Linked DNA regions of Alligator mississippiensis. The protein of the gene in region 1 purifies or fractionates together with the protein of each later gene. This does not show direct contact. Links are inferred from orthologs where the notes say so. Each region holds a gene or a part of one and is shown in the gene's direction. Other genes may lie near its edges.

What was found. The genes of interacting proteins can lie anywhere in the genome.
Region 2: the proteins of INAVA (region 1) and SGF29 purify together in Homo sapiens (co-immunoprecipitation; 3 studies listed by BioGRID and IntAct, counting the BioPlex papers as one, with this or other methods). This does not show direct contact. The link is inferred for Alligator mississippiensis from reciprocal best matches to the Homo sapiens genes INAVA and SGF29.

What each region holds. Positions count from the first base shown.
Region 1 is NC_081837.1:33,172,177-33,179,093, reverse strand, and holds the start of INAVA (innate immunity activator protein), read left to right. Parts: upstream 1-3,888; 5' UTR 3,889-4,067; intron 4,068-6,917. UniProt on the Homo sapiens protein: Expressed in peripheral macrophages and intestinal myeloid-derived cells, is required for optimal PRR (pattern recognition receptor)-induced signaling, cytokine secretion, and bacterial clearance.
Region 2 is NC_081830.1:820,466-827,652, forward strand, and holds the start of SGF29 (SAGA-associated factor 29), read left to right. Parts: upstream 1-4,119; 5' UTR 4,120-4,132; coding exon 4,133-4,378; intron 4,379-4,865; coding exon 4,866-5,024; intron 5,025-5,267; coding exon 5,268-5,343; intron 5,344-5,625; coding exon 5,626-5,698; intron 5,699-5,795; coding exon 5,796-5,860; intron 5,861-6,370; coding exon 6,371-6,500; intron 6,501-6,590; coding exon 6,591-6,737; intron 6,738-7,187. Other genes in the region: perforin-1, read left to right, coding at 1-643; nuclear protein 1, read right to left, coding at 2,772-2,911, 3,226-3,328. UniProt on the Homo sapiens protein: Chromatin reader component of some histone acetyltransferase (HAT) SAGA-type complexes like the TFTC-HAT, ATAC or STAGA complexes.

The sequences.
Region 1 (6,917 bases):
TGCCCTGAGGGCTTGAGATGCATTTCTCTGACTCCCCTGCCTGCCCCCACACCCTAACCCCTCTCCCCCTTCCCATCACAGTGCTCTTAGCACCATGTCTTTCTTTCTACTTGCTGCCCAGACAAGCCCAAGCTGCCCTTATAGTCTGGATGGGACTGGCTGCAGGCTGCCCGAGTGCCCTCATCTGTTGCATGATCCTTGGCTACCTGTTTTCTCGGCTTGACTCCCGCCTGAGTCCTTGCCCAGCCTGAATCCCCTGCCTCATTCCTGCCTGAATCCTAGCCCATGTCCTCTGCTTTGATTCTCGGTTTCTGGAGTCCTAGTTTGTGACGCTCGTAGCATCTTGCTCCAATCCCATGCATCCAGGTTGTGTCTGTGACATGCCAGACCACATACACATCATACAGAGCCCCAGGCCTCTGTGGGGCAGCCTACAGAGGAGGATGTGGAGCCCCTGCACAGCTCCCCAACCATTCCAGTTGATGGCTATTATGTGCAAGGGGTGGTGGCTCATCCTCAAAAGGTGTGCTGGAGAGAAGAGTGGAAAAGACCTAATCTATGGTGTGGTGGTTAAAGCACTATGTGGAGAAATTGGTGATATAGGCTTAAAACCCTTCTTTGGTGACTGAATTTTAACTTGCATCACTGTGACTTGACTTGTTAGGTGATGGGGACCAGAAACCCAGGTCTTTGGCGTCCTAGGTAAGTGCTTTAGCTGTTCAGCTCTTGGGGCTAAAACTTGGAATGGGTTTTCTCCTTTCCCAAACTTCATTGCATGATAACATACCTAGTGTGTGTACATGGCCTACTCAGTCTACACATTGATGCATGCATGTCTGTTATACGCAGTAACAGGCCAAAAAAATGCAGCTAGGAAATGGCCATGTAGGTGCACAGTGACAAACAGAATTCCATCCATCCCATTTAAATGTTTGTAAGTGACCTTAGCACTGGGGCTTGAAGCATCCTCATCAAATTTGCAGAACTGGATCAGCTTGTGGAACAAGATGGCGAGTTCGGGCACACAAATCGGGGTGTGTGATGTGGAAGTATGTAACTGAGGTCCCCAGGTTGAGCTCTGCAGTGAGAAAAACATGGTAACTCCAGAGCTTTGACTGGCTTTTACTAGATGCTAGTTGGGGACATGCATGACAATTAAAACAGAAGTGAACAGATAGAAAAGACATGCATTAAACTGTGTTGTGTTTAAATCTACCTGGAGCAGTTCAAAAGGGTGCCTGGAAAATCAAGTACTATTTTGAACTGGTGCACTGTGAACTGATTCAGTGGTTGTGTGTGGACTCACCTTTCTATGACACTAACCTGGCCAGTCTTCCAGGAATCCCAAACTGCATCACTTCTCGCCTCTCCCACACACTACTGCAACCGACTGCTCTGGTATCGCTTCTCAGCCTTTTGGCTAAGATCAAGTGTAGTCCCATCAACTGCACCATCCTGGGCTGAGAGCCAGCTGTTGCCCAGACATCCTTGCAGCTGAGGAGGAGAACAAATGCATCGTGATGGCTGATGTTGCTATCCCATTGGAGAACCAGCAGCAAGCCTTTGTCGAAGCCTGCAAGTGGAATTTGACAGTACAAGCTGCTGGCAGGTGCTGTGAGTACGGGGCTGCAAAGTGATGGTGCAGGCACTGATTGTTGGGGTGCTTGGAGCATGGGACCCCCGGCAACAAAAGCATCTTGTGTGCCAAGCTGATGAGACAGCTCATGGTGTCTGACACCATCAGATGTTCCAGGGACATCAACATGGAGTGCATTGCGAGTGAGTGCCAGTATGTGGACACCAGCAAACTACTGGCTGGAAGCAACTTGGAGGAAGCAGTCTGATTTTTTTTTCCCCCCCTTCCTCCCCCCACCAACAGATCATGAGCTAAAACTGCTTCCCACCTGGACTGTCCATCACCTCTGCAATTATACTCCACGTGCTGTTGTTTGTACCTGCATATGTATCCCTCAGAGCCCACAACTCTACAATAATGCAGCTTCCTTGCACAGGGCCTTTGTATCTTATTCCCTCGGTAAGCATCATGCTTTTACCTCCCTTATCCCTCACCCTAACTCATCCCCTACCTAAGTAGGCTACGTTCTCTCTGCATAACTTAGTTGCATCCTCCACGTACCCACCCACCCAGTACTATGCAACTACCCTTCCCTGGGTCTTCTGGATCTCTTTCCACCTCTTCAACTCTGTAACTTCCTACTAAGATATACTAATAAACTAAATAAAGTATGTAGCCAGAGTCCTACTGCCCCCTTTTGCTGGCAATTATTTTTTTTAATCAATGAGCTCCCTTGCATATTCTTTGCTCAATAAAAGTTGTTTTTCCAACAGCCAGCTCTGCCCTGATTCCCTACTTGACTTCAGCCCAACCTCATGCCTCCCACCTGCCCGGTCCCAGGCAGTACCTGCCCCCCCTCCCCACAACCAAAAAGCGAGAGTCCAAGCCCTCCCCTCCTGTCTCCAAGTCAGGTGAGCACATTGCAAATGACTGCAGCCTACAGGCTATTGAAGTTTATTGAGCTTTGACAAGTGACAAGGCTAGGGAATGAACTGAGAATGTAAACCCCAAATCTGGGCTTCGACTAAACTAAAGGACAGCAATTGGGTTAGGGAAGGCCAGTGGGTGGCTGCGCGGGGATGCTGAGGAGTGGATGCGTTTATTGTAACAGGTACGTGGTTTCTTAATGTGGTTTAAGGTGTGTGATGGAAAGTTTTATGCTAGATGGTGGGGGGGTATACTATAAAAGATTACTAAGCTTACATTCAGGAAGCAAATGAAAGCAGGAAAGGGATAAGGCCCTCAGCCACACCTGGGACTCCCAAAGCATTTGTCCACTGCAAGGCATGCTGGGCTGGGTGCTCACTCCCACCCTGGTGTGCAAGCCACAACAGTTCACACCATTGTGAATGAATTCCCCCCGGAAGGATTCGATTGCAATGTGTGTCCACATCCTCAGAATCACACTGATTCCCGGCACTGGGGTAGGAAGGGTTTTTGCTCCCAGACCGACTGGCCCAGGCACTGGGGGTTTGCTGTCCTCTGCGGTGTAGGGAGCAGAGTCCCTTTCATAGGAGAGTCTTCATAGACATTAGGGCTGGAAGGGACCTTGTAAGATTATCGGGTCCAGCCCCCTGCCCAAGAAGCAGGAAGTCAACTAGGGGAAAACATCTCAGCAAGATAAAAGTCCAAATGTTTCATAAAGGTGTCCAGAGTAGGTGTTTGCACCACCTCTCAAAGTGGTAATTTAGAAATACAGGGGACTAGATGCAGTGACAGAGGCAGCCCCTTCCACTCGTGTTTCTGTTAAGTTCGGGTTTTAACCCAGCTCCCTGTGTATTGAATTTTCTCAGTTACTAAGTAGCACACAGTTAAGCTGGCTTTCCAAATAACTCATTAATTTGCCATTGTGTGCGCTGACTAGCTGGCAGATTCCAGCTAATCCATCACTAATAGAACATTAATAGCCAGCTGCCTCGCACACTTTCCTTGTGGGCTGATCTGAAAAAAACTCTCTGATTCCTTTCTTTCCAGACTTTCACCCTGGGTCTCTCAGAAGAAAAGCAACCACAGGGGAGGCATTGTGCTGCTTGGAAGAAGTACTTCCAAGACTCAGTGAATTACCCTTTCCTAAGACTAGGGCTGGTGGGATCTGAGCAGGAAATGGGGACCAGGAGCAGGATCATTATTCTCTTCTCTGCTAAAAAAACAATACAGTGTTCAGAGTAACAACAAAAATCCAAGGCATGATACTCCACCCTGGCATGCCTCCTCCTTCTCAGGGCTACTTTAGTGAGGCTTGAACAAGTTTTAAAGCATACTAACCAGCATCTCCCCCTCTTTTCCTAAGGGATTGGTATGCCCCAGGGACAGATGTCTTTAGATCTTCAACCTTTGGGATGTAGCTAATGCCTAGTTAAATTAAATAAGGGGGGGAGCTTTGCAAAAGCAGCAGTCTGGGTGATGGAAGCAGTGTAAATGAAATTCCTTGGGAGTGATTAAAAAAAAAAAAAGGAAGGAAACAGCTACAGGACTAGTTGCTTTTTAGCAGGTAAGTGAAAACAAACTTGAACTCTGTGAAATCTGATCTGCCTAAAAGTATCCTAGCAATTTGAACAGGAGACATGTGTGCAGGGTGATCCCCTATAATTAAAGATGTTGCTGTTTGAACATGTTGCACTCAGCAGAAATTTGCAGTCGCCAAAAACAGTTGTTTGTTTGTTGGTTTTAGGTAGTAGTTTTCTCCTGATGGTTTCCCTCCTCAGATTTGTGGAAATGTTTGTTGCTTTGTAAAATATAATTTTGAAATTGTGTTCATCTAGCACCAGGGCTGAAAAAAGGAGGGAGAGGCAGATGAGACAAAGACAATGGGCCAGATTCTCAGCTGGTGGAAATGAATCAAAGTTCACTAGTTTGAATGGGGCTACTCCAATTTACACTTTATGAATTCAGGCCAGATGGCTGGAAATTTTATATTGGCTACTTGCAAGAAGACATCCAATCAGAAAGAGGATTTTTTAATTTTATTCCTGTAAGATCACTTACATAAGGTGAATAGTTTGTTCTGTGCTGGCGCACGGGACTCCTGGGAAATTATTAGTTCAAGCCAACGTGCTTGTCCTTTGCTCACATTGTAAGAGAGCAAGGATTGGAGGAGTTATGAATGGTGCCAGTCTAATTTCAGTCTTTCAGCTCTGGCTTTTTAATTCAGTGCAGGAATGAAGTGAAGCATTACTCAGCTGTCTCTGCCTGAGAATCGGAAAGGCTCTGAACCTGGTTATTTCTTCTCAATGGACTTGTATAACTTCTTTGTTACATGTTAACCCACAAAACAAGAATCACATGTTTTAAGAATCCCAGGGCCAGGACCCAAGCTGGTGTAAATCAATTTGTTGTGGCTGGTGTTAGTGGAGCTATGCAAATTTACTCCTGTGGAGGATCGTGACTGCAGTAGCATTTGAAAGCGCTGAACAGGATGGAGACCTTATTGTAATAGGCCCGGAACAAGAAAGCAACACAAAATTAGTCCCTCCCTGTTCTTACAAGCAAAGAATTACTAATCATAAGGATGGGCCAGGCCTGCAATATTTTGATTTGAGTTTCAAATTCCAGGAAGGTACATTCTGGTCATTCCCATTGAAGTCAATAGGGAGTAAACTCTATGGTTTTCAGTAGCAACTCTGAATCCACACCAATGTGACTGAGACCCAAATCTGAGTCAGTGAGTGGACAAAAAAAAGTCCAAGTGTGAATTTTGGAATCTGTGTTGGGACTCTGAAATTTTGGGAGTGAAGAGGACTGAAGCTATAGCCAGAGATCTAGGTATTAAAACTGAGATCAAGGCCTCACTGCACTAGGCACTAAACATCCACACAACAATAGACAGTCCCTAACACAAAGAGCTCAAGCTCCAAGAAGACAAGAGTGGGGGTGGAGAAAGGAAATATCACTAGCCGTGTACAACAGGTGGAAAATAGGGTCAAAGAGAAATTAAGGGCAAAATCCTATTTCACTTTACATATCCCAATGGTACTTACCCACATTTGTAAATGCCATTTTGGACATTTGCACACAATTTATAACTACTCCACATGCACGTGGCTATTAAGCATGCTCAGTAAGCTATATGCTGGCTAGGCAGGTAGGTGGATCTATGCAGTCGCTCATGAATGAGTGTAAGTTCCCAAACTTTTGCTGGGTAAAACAACCGGTGTTAGGTGCTGGAGGGAGGGGGGCCCCATGCTTTAGCCCACTGCTGGAGGCACTCACCTGGGTTCTAGACCTACTCATCCAAAGGAGGTTTCATCATCTCTGACTTCCCAGCACAGTGCTCTAATTACCACACCACAGGAAAGTCACTGTCTAGACCTTCTTTTGCAGCTGGACCCCAGAAACAAGAGCACGTGCTTGAGGATGTGTGGCTTAATGAGATGAGCCTAGCGTTAGCCTGAGCCACTGGTTCCAAACAGAGCAGTGCAAAGGCACCTCCTGAGCTGCAGGTTCCCTGAGCCCCTCGGGCTAGCACTGCTCTGTTCCTCCTCCTGGGGTGGAGGCAGGAAATGGAAGCTGGAGAAGGGAGGGGGAGCCCAGGGACCCTGGCAGCAGCAGTAGAAGAAATGAAGGGAGAAGCACCTGGACTGGGAGCCATGAGTTAGCCACTCATGGGCTGGATGTGATCCACAGGCTACCAGTCGGACAGATGTGACCTACAGGTTGGGTGGCTCTGTCTTAGAAAGTAATGGCACAGAGAAGGACTTAGGAATCATAGTAGATAATTGCCTGCATGTGAGTTCTCAGCCCATGCTGCAATTAAAATGGTTAATGCAATCACTGGATGCATAAACGGAGAATATCAAATAGACACAGAAAAGTGATCTTGCCTCTGGACACAGCAATGGCGAGGCAATGACTCATGCAGTGCGTCCAGTGCTGGTATCCACATTTGGAGAAGGATGTGGAATTACTGGAAAGATTTCAAAGGGAAAGGGCAAAAATGATTCAGAGGCTGGAATGCAAGCCCTGTGATATGAGCTTTAAGGCACTCACTTGATGCATCTTACCAGACAAAAGATTGAGAGATGACTTACTTGATCACTGTGTGTAGTGGAAGTTATCTGATACTGGGGGCTTTGCAAAGGGTAACCTGATCCAGTGACTGGAAGCTGAACTTGGGCAAACCCAACTTTGAAATAAGATGCACTTTCCTAGCAGTGAGGGTGTTTAAACATTGCAACTGCTTTCTAGGGGAAGTGGTGGACTCATCATTGCTTAGAGTCTTAAAATGAGATTAGGTGTCTTTCTAAAAGACAAGCTTTGATCCAAATTCTGGGAAAAAAATCTGTGACCTGTGTGTGTTTGGATGCCGGGGGATCAGGCTGGTCCCTTCTGGCCCCGGTGGATG
Region 2 (7,187 bases), on another chromosome or scaffold:
CAAAGCCAACCCTGGGCTCATCTCTTACACTCTGATGCCCATCCATGCCTTGGCAAGGAAGGGTGACCCACGGCGGGCCTCTCTCCAGAGGGCTGTGAGCCAGTATGTCCTTGATGGGGCGCTGTGGAGGAACTGCACCCATCCCTGCCCCCTGGGCACCCAACGAAGCCCGTGGGACCCATGCACCTGCCTGTGCTCAGAGGAGGTGGGGTGGGATGCATCCTGCTGCTCCCGGGAGCGAAGCCTGGGCCAGCTCATGGTGACGGTGGTCAATGCCAGTAGGCTCTACGGGGACCTCGGCACCCAGTCAGATGCCTATGTCAAGGTGTTTTATGGGGGGCAGGAGCTGCGGGCAGACACAGTGTGGAACAATGACAGCCCGGCATGGGGGGTGGGACTGGATTTTGGGGTGGGGCGGGTAGACGGTGAAGACGGGCTGAGGTTGGAGGTGTGGGACGAGGACAACGGGCATGATGATGACCTACTGGGGGCCTGTGGGGAGATGCCTGTGGCTGGCGCCCCCCAGTCTCGCACCTGCTATTTGGCCTATGGGCAGCTCCACTTCCTGTACCGCCTCCAGTGTGGGCCTGGCCTGGGTGGGCCCCGGTGCCAGGACTATGCCCCCCGGCCCCCTGAGATATAACTGCCCCCCCAGGGGGCTTCCCCTCTTCAGGTCCTTCAGCCCCATAACCACATGGACTGGGGCCACAAAGCGGGGAGGGGCCAGGAGGAGAGAGGGGGTGATGGGATGGGTCCACCTGACCCATCAATGACCCTTAGGTGATCCCAACAAATGATCCCATCCATAGCTCCACCTACCAATAATGGCAACCCAATCCTAAGCAAGGACACCAAACCTAACCCAGCCAACCAATGACACCAACCCAACTCTAACAAATGACCCCACCCCTAGCCCAACCCAACCCACCGATCTCCTTCCCTCAGGGCCTTCCCCTTCAAACCCTGTACACACATCCCTGGCAGGGAGGGAGTCTAATTAGGGTGACTTCCAAGGTTCGTTAGCAGTAATGAGACAACGGGCATCCGGCCTGTGGGGGGAATAAAGGCATTTGAGTTGACCTCCTGCCAAATGTGTGTGTGTGTAGCCCTCAATTGGGGGGCTAACCCCTCCACTACCCACAATCCCTTGGCCCCTCTCATTCCTGAAGAAGTCTCAAGAAACATGAATTTTCTTCAGAACTCCCCCCCATTTTATTGACTATTTTTCACCCCGCAACAGTGCCGGGGCCAGAGGAGGGGCAGCTACAGAGCTACCCACCCCGTGCCTTTCCTCACCCCTTTTTGACCACTCTGAGCCCCCTGGGACCTGAGGTTCCCCTGTATCCAACATGGCTGCCGAGTCGGGGTGGGTTCACTGGTTGTCCTGGCGATGGTTTCAATATGGCCGCCTAGGCCAAGAGTTTCCACTGGTTGCCTTGGTGATGGTTTCAATGTGGCTGCCTTTTGCAAGGGGTTCCACTGGTTGTCTTGGCAATGGTTTCAATAGGCCGCCTTTGCCAAGGGCTCAAAATGGCTGCCCAGACAAAGGTGTTGAGCATGGTTGCTATGGGCAGGGGGCCAATATGGCCGTCTTGGCAACAAAGTGAACATGGCTGAAATGGGGATGGTTCAGTATGGCTGCCTGGGCAGCGGGGGGGGGAGTGTCAACATGGTCACCATGGTGATGGTATCAATATGACTACCATGAGGAGGGTCAATGGGGTTGCCCAAGAAAGGGGTGGAGTTTGGTTCCTATAGGGGGTGGTCAAAATGGCTACCTTAGCAACAGGGTCACCACGGTTGCCATGGCAATGGGATGAACATGGTTGCCATCAGAGGGGTTCAATATGGCCACCCTGGCAATGGGCCCAAGATGGTGGCTGCAGGGAAAATTCAAAATGGCCATCTTGGTAATGGGGTGTCTAGGACTTCCAAAGGGGGGGTTCAAAATGGCCACCCTGGCAACAGGTTAAACCTGGTTGCCATGGGGGGGTCAAAAGGGTCGCCTTGACAACAGGGTCACTGAGGTCACCGTGGCAATAGCGAGAACATGGCCACCAGGCCCAATGGGTGGCAGCCATCTTGGTGTGTCTGTCCGTGTGTCCGTCTCCGTGTCGCCGTGTGCCATGGGGTCCGGAACCGGGTTCGCTAACGAGGCTCTGAGCTAACGAGGGGGGTGGGGTTAGTGTCGGCCATCTTGTTCCCTGCCATCCCCCATCCAGCCTGGCGTTGTGGCTGGCGGCCATCTTGGGCCCCATTACCACCATTTTGTGCCCACCCCAGTGCTGTTCCCCATTGCTGTGGGTGATGATGGCCATCTTAGCTCCACTGCCATGCCTTATGGTGGCCATCTTGACTCCTGGCCCATGCCTAATGGTGGCCATCTTGGTTATTACTTCCAGCCCCCTGCCATGCCCAAAGGCGGACATATTGACTTCTACTCCCACCTGTTTCCATGCCTAATGGCAGCCATCCTGATGCCTGGCCCGCTTCCCACAGCCTTGCCTTGTGGCAGCCATCTTGCTTGCTGCTCACCTCACTATTTCTGCACCCAGTGGCGGCCATCTTGGTTCCCAACTCTTTCCCCACTGCCGTGCCCAAGAGCTGCCATCTTGGTTCCCGCTCCCATCCCTAATGCCAGGCCCCGTGGCGGCCATCTTGACTCCTGCTCACTCCCCCATTCCCATCCCCCATGGCGGCCATCTCGGTTCACGCCCCGCTCGTTCCTGCGGGCAGCTGCCATCTTGACTCACCTGTGGGCAGGGCTCCGCTCACTCCTTGCCCGCCCGGCGCCGCTCCGATCGCTGCAGCTTGGTGGCCAACTTGCGCTCGTGCCCAGCTGGGCTGGGCCGGTTCGTGTGGGCTGCTGCCTCCCGCTTGGTACGCCCTTTCCGGCCTCTCCCATCAGGCACTGGGATGGCGGGGGGGGGGACACAAATGGGGAGGGGTCAGAGTTGGGTGTCCCCCACTCCCACCCGCAGCTCCCTGCACCAGTGCCCCCGCCCCCGCCCCGCAGCCCCCCACAGCAGTGCCCCCGCTCCCGCCCCGCAGCCCCCCACAGCGGTGCCCCCACTCCTGGGTGCTCTGGGAGGGGAGCGCGGAGCAGAGGGGCGGGAGCCGGACGCCTGGAGCCTGGCTGCCATCTAGTGACTTCGGACTTTATAGCCAGACTTTATAGCCAGGGATCGGGGCAGGGGGGGCCGGGCCCGGACGCTGGGTCCTCACCCGCGTAGCGCTCGGTCAGGCTGTAGTAGTCGCAGGCGTCCAGGTACCGGCCTTCAAAGGGCGTCGGGACCAGGCGGGCGGCATCAAGCCGGGCCGAGGCCATGGCCTATTGCAGGCGGGGTCGGGGGTCCTCGAGCTGGGGGTCCCTGGGGGCGTCGGTCTGTGCAGCAGGGGCTGCGTCCGGCTGTCTCCTGGGGCTGTTTGTGTCTCGCTGGGTCCTGCCCCCCCTTTATAGACCAGGCCCCGCCCCCATTGCATCATCCGTCTCCCCCCCAGGCACCCCCCCCCCCCCCCGTTCCTGCCCCACCCCCAGAACCTTAAAGGCACAGGGGGGCCCCACTGCTGACCTGCATCGCTCCCCACGGCGGTGCCCCCACGCCGAGCCCGCACCCCCCTACGGTGCCCCCACTCCCGCCCGCCCCGCCGGCCCCCGGCCAAGGTACACATGGGGAGAAAAACAACCTCGGGTCACGAGGGGAGACTGAGTCAGGACTCGGCTGAGCCCTCCCCCCCCCCCAGCCCTCCCCCCCCCTTATTGCCAGGCCTGATAGAGAGGCGCCTGAGCTGGGAATCATTAACTGGGTGCCCCCCCCGCAGCCCCTTCTGCCCACAAGAGTTTGTGGGGCTCCCCCATCAGACAACCCAGGGGGCCGGGCTCCCAGAATCCCCTGCTCCCACCCCCCAGGAAAGGGGGGACCCCCCATATTACAGGGGTACGGGGAAGGGGGGGCTATTTTGGGCAGGGTGTCGGCGCAGGATGGGCGATGCTGCACGTGGGGGAGCGGCTGCAGGTCGGGAGTGAGGGGCACCGCTGTTGCTGAGCGCTGGGGGTCGGGGTTTCAGGAGCGGGAGGGGCCGGGGAGCTGAAAACTACAACTCCCAGGAGCCCCGGGGAGACCCCGGCTCTATGGCGCAAGAGACTGGAAGGGCAACATGCGCGATGCGCATGCGCTGTCGTTCTGCGTGGGCCCTGGTGGCACTGTGCGCATGCGCAACCTCAAAGCGCTTCCTCAGGGACTGCAAGTCCCAGGCTGCCTCGCGAGCTTGGCTCCGCGCAAGCGTAGTTGGGCCCCGCCTCCCGCTGCCGCCCTGGGAACGTGGAGCCGCTCCTTCGCCGCCGCTTCAGGTCCGGTCCCGCCCGGAGGGCCCCGCGGTGCGTCTGGGCCTGGGGGCGACCGGGGGGCAGGCAAGCGGGGCCGGAAATGGGCGGTGGGGGGGCGCGAAGGGGGTGTCATGGTAAGCAGGTGAATGCGCATGCGCAGCTTGGAGGGGACGCGGGTGATGGGAGTGCGCATGCGTATTCGGCTTCTTGGACCCCCCCTCCCCCCGGTCCCAGGGCATTGTGGGAGTGTTGCCAACCCCACCAGTCCCGAGGCATTGTGGGAGTATGGACAACCTGCCCTCTGGCCACATGGCATTGTGGGAGTGTGGCCAACTGCTCCCTGTCCCAGGGCATTGTGGGAAAGTAGCAAACCCCCCACTGTGGGAGCATGTCCTTGACTCCCCCTCAGCCCCAAGGCATTGTGGGAGAGTAGCTTACTGGCACCGCAGCCCCAGGGCATTGTGGGAGATAGGCCATAAGTCCCCCCTCCAGCCCCAAGGCATTGTGGGAGCGTGAGCAACTCTCCTCCCCACCGCAGGGCATTGTGGGAATCCAGCTAGCCGCCCCCCCGACTAAACCTTCCCGCCGGGCGCCCCGCAGGCCCCGCCCTCTCCCGGCGGCCATGGCGCTGGTGTCGGCCGACTCGCGCATCGCGGAGCTGCTGGGGGAGCTGCACCAGCTCATCAAGCAGACCCAGGTGAGCTTCCCAGCATCCTCTGGGGTGGCGGGGGCCTTTCCCAGCATCCTCTGGGGTGGGGGGGGCCTTTCCCAGCATCCTCTGGGGCAGGCGGTGTGCGGCCGCCTCCCTGGGGCAGGCAGAGGAAGGAGCTGGGGGGCAGGGGGAGGTGTGTGGGGAGGGTTGTCCTATCCCCGCCTCCTACGGGCTACCCCAGAGGCTGCTGGCGAGGGGGCGGAGCCCTGGTAACCCCGCCCCCCGCAGGAGGAGCGTTCCCGCAGCGAGCACAACCTGGTGAACATCCAGAAGACCCACGAGCGGATGCAAACGGAGAATAAGAGTGAGACCCCCGCCCCGCACGCCTGGGTGCTTCCCAGAATCCCCCAGGGGTGGGGGTGGGGGTGGGGGAGGGGTTACAGCCCAGCCCGGACCCCTGGGTTTCTCCTTCGATGGGTCTGGCCCTGGACGCCTGGGTTTGATCTCCGATTGCGGGGGGGAGACGGAGCCTGTACGCCAGGGTTCAGCGTAACACGAGGTGGGGGGGCGGGCCCCCGGGTTCAATCAAGTATTGGGGGGGGCCGGACGCCTGGGTTCTGAACTGCACCCCCCCACCCCCCTGCAGTCTCCCCCTATTACCGCACCAAGCTGCGGGGGCTTTACACCACGGCCAAGGCGGATGCAGAGGCTGAGTGCAAGTAAGTTTGCCTCCCCTTGCCCCACCCCCACCCCAAATCCCCCCCCCCCCACTAGCGGTCACTAATGTCCCCCCTTTCTGCCCCCCCTCCCACACAGCATCCTGCGCAAGGCACTGGACAAGATCGCCGAGATCAAGTCCTTGCTGGAGGAGAGACGCATTGGTAAGCAATACCTAATCCCCTCCTCTCCCCCGGGACTCCCAGAATCCCCTGGGGCCTGACAAGAAGTGGTTGGACAGGGGCATTCTCCCCCGGGGCTAGTGGGGGTCTCTGGAGGGTATAGAAGCCTGGAACTCCCAGTATCCCTTGGGACCTGATACCTCCCAGAATCCCCTGGGGTCTGACAAGGGGACACAGACTTCCCAGCATCCCCTGGGACCTCAGCTGTAGGGGTCTCTGGGGGAACTGCCAGAATCCCTTGAGGTCTTGGGGTCTCCAGGGTGGGAGAGGGCCTGGGATATCCAAAAATTCTTTGGGGAGGGACAGGGGATGCGGGGTGGCTGGGCACAGACCTCCCAGAAACCCCTGGGGATATTGTGGGGGTCTCCCAGAAGCCCCTGGTACATAGGTCTCTCCACCGGCCCTGTTTCCCACAGTCCTGTGCAACGTGGATATCCAGGGACGGGGAGGACCCAGAAACCTCACTCTTTTCTTTTGCCCTCCCCACAACAGCGGCGAAGATCGCGGGACTCTACAACGACTCGGAGCCGCCACGTAAGACCATGCGCCGGGGGGTCCTCATGACCCTCCTCCAGCAATCGGCCATGACGCTGCCTCTCTGGATTGGAAAGCCCGGCGAGAAGTGAGCCCCCCACCTCTTGCTGCTTCCCCCTGCCCTGGGGGGCGGGGTTCATAGCCCTCCCCCACACCCCTAACTGCCCCCTGCTTGCAGGCCCCCACCTTTGTGCGGCGCCATCCCAGCTGCCAGTGACTACGTAGCCAAGCCCGGGGACAAGGTGGCCGCCCGGGTCAAAGCTGTGGACGGGGATGAGCAGTGGATCCTGGCAGAGGTTGTTAGTTACAGCCACGCCACCAACAAGTGAGTGGAGGGGAGTCCAAGATGTCCACCATGGGGTGGGACTTGCCAGCCTGGCTGCCAGGATGGCGAGGGAGGGGGGTTGGAGGGCTTCCAATATGGTTGCCAGGTCCAGGGCCCATCCAATATGGGCACCAGGGTGAAGGAGGACGGATTGGAAGACTTCTAATATGGCTGCCAGGGTGATGGCTCCTCCAAGATAGTCACTCTAGGCAGCCATGGGGGGTGGGGCGGGGGGAGGGATGACACTATGATACTGGGTGTCCTAGGGGCCACTCTAGCCAGCCAAGAGGGAACGGCATCTCTATTACCTCACTAGGGGGTTCCTCTGGCTGGGCAAAATGGTGACTCTATGGTGCTGGACCCCCCCTCCTCCCCCGGGGGCCCCTCTAGCCATCCAGGAGGGCAATTCTGTGGTCCCCCGATGACCTCGGGCCCACTAGCCAGCCAAGA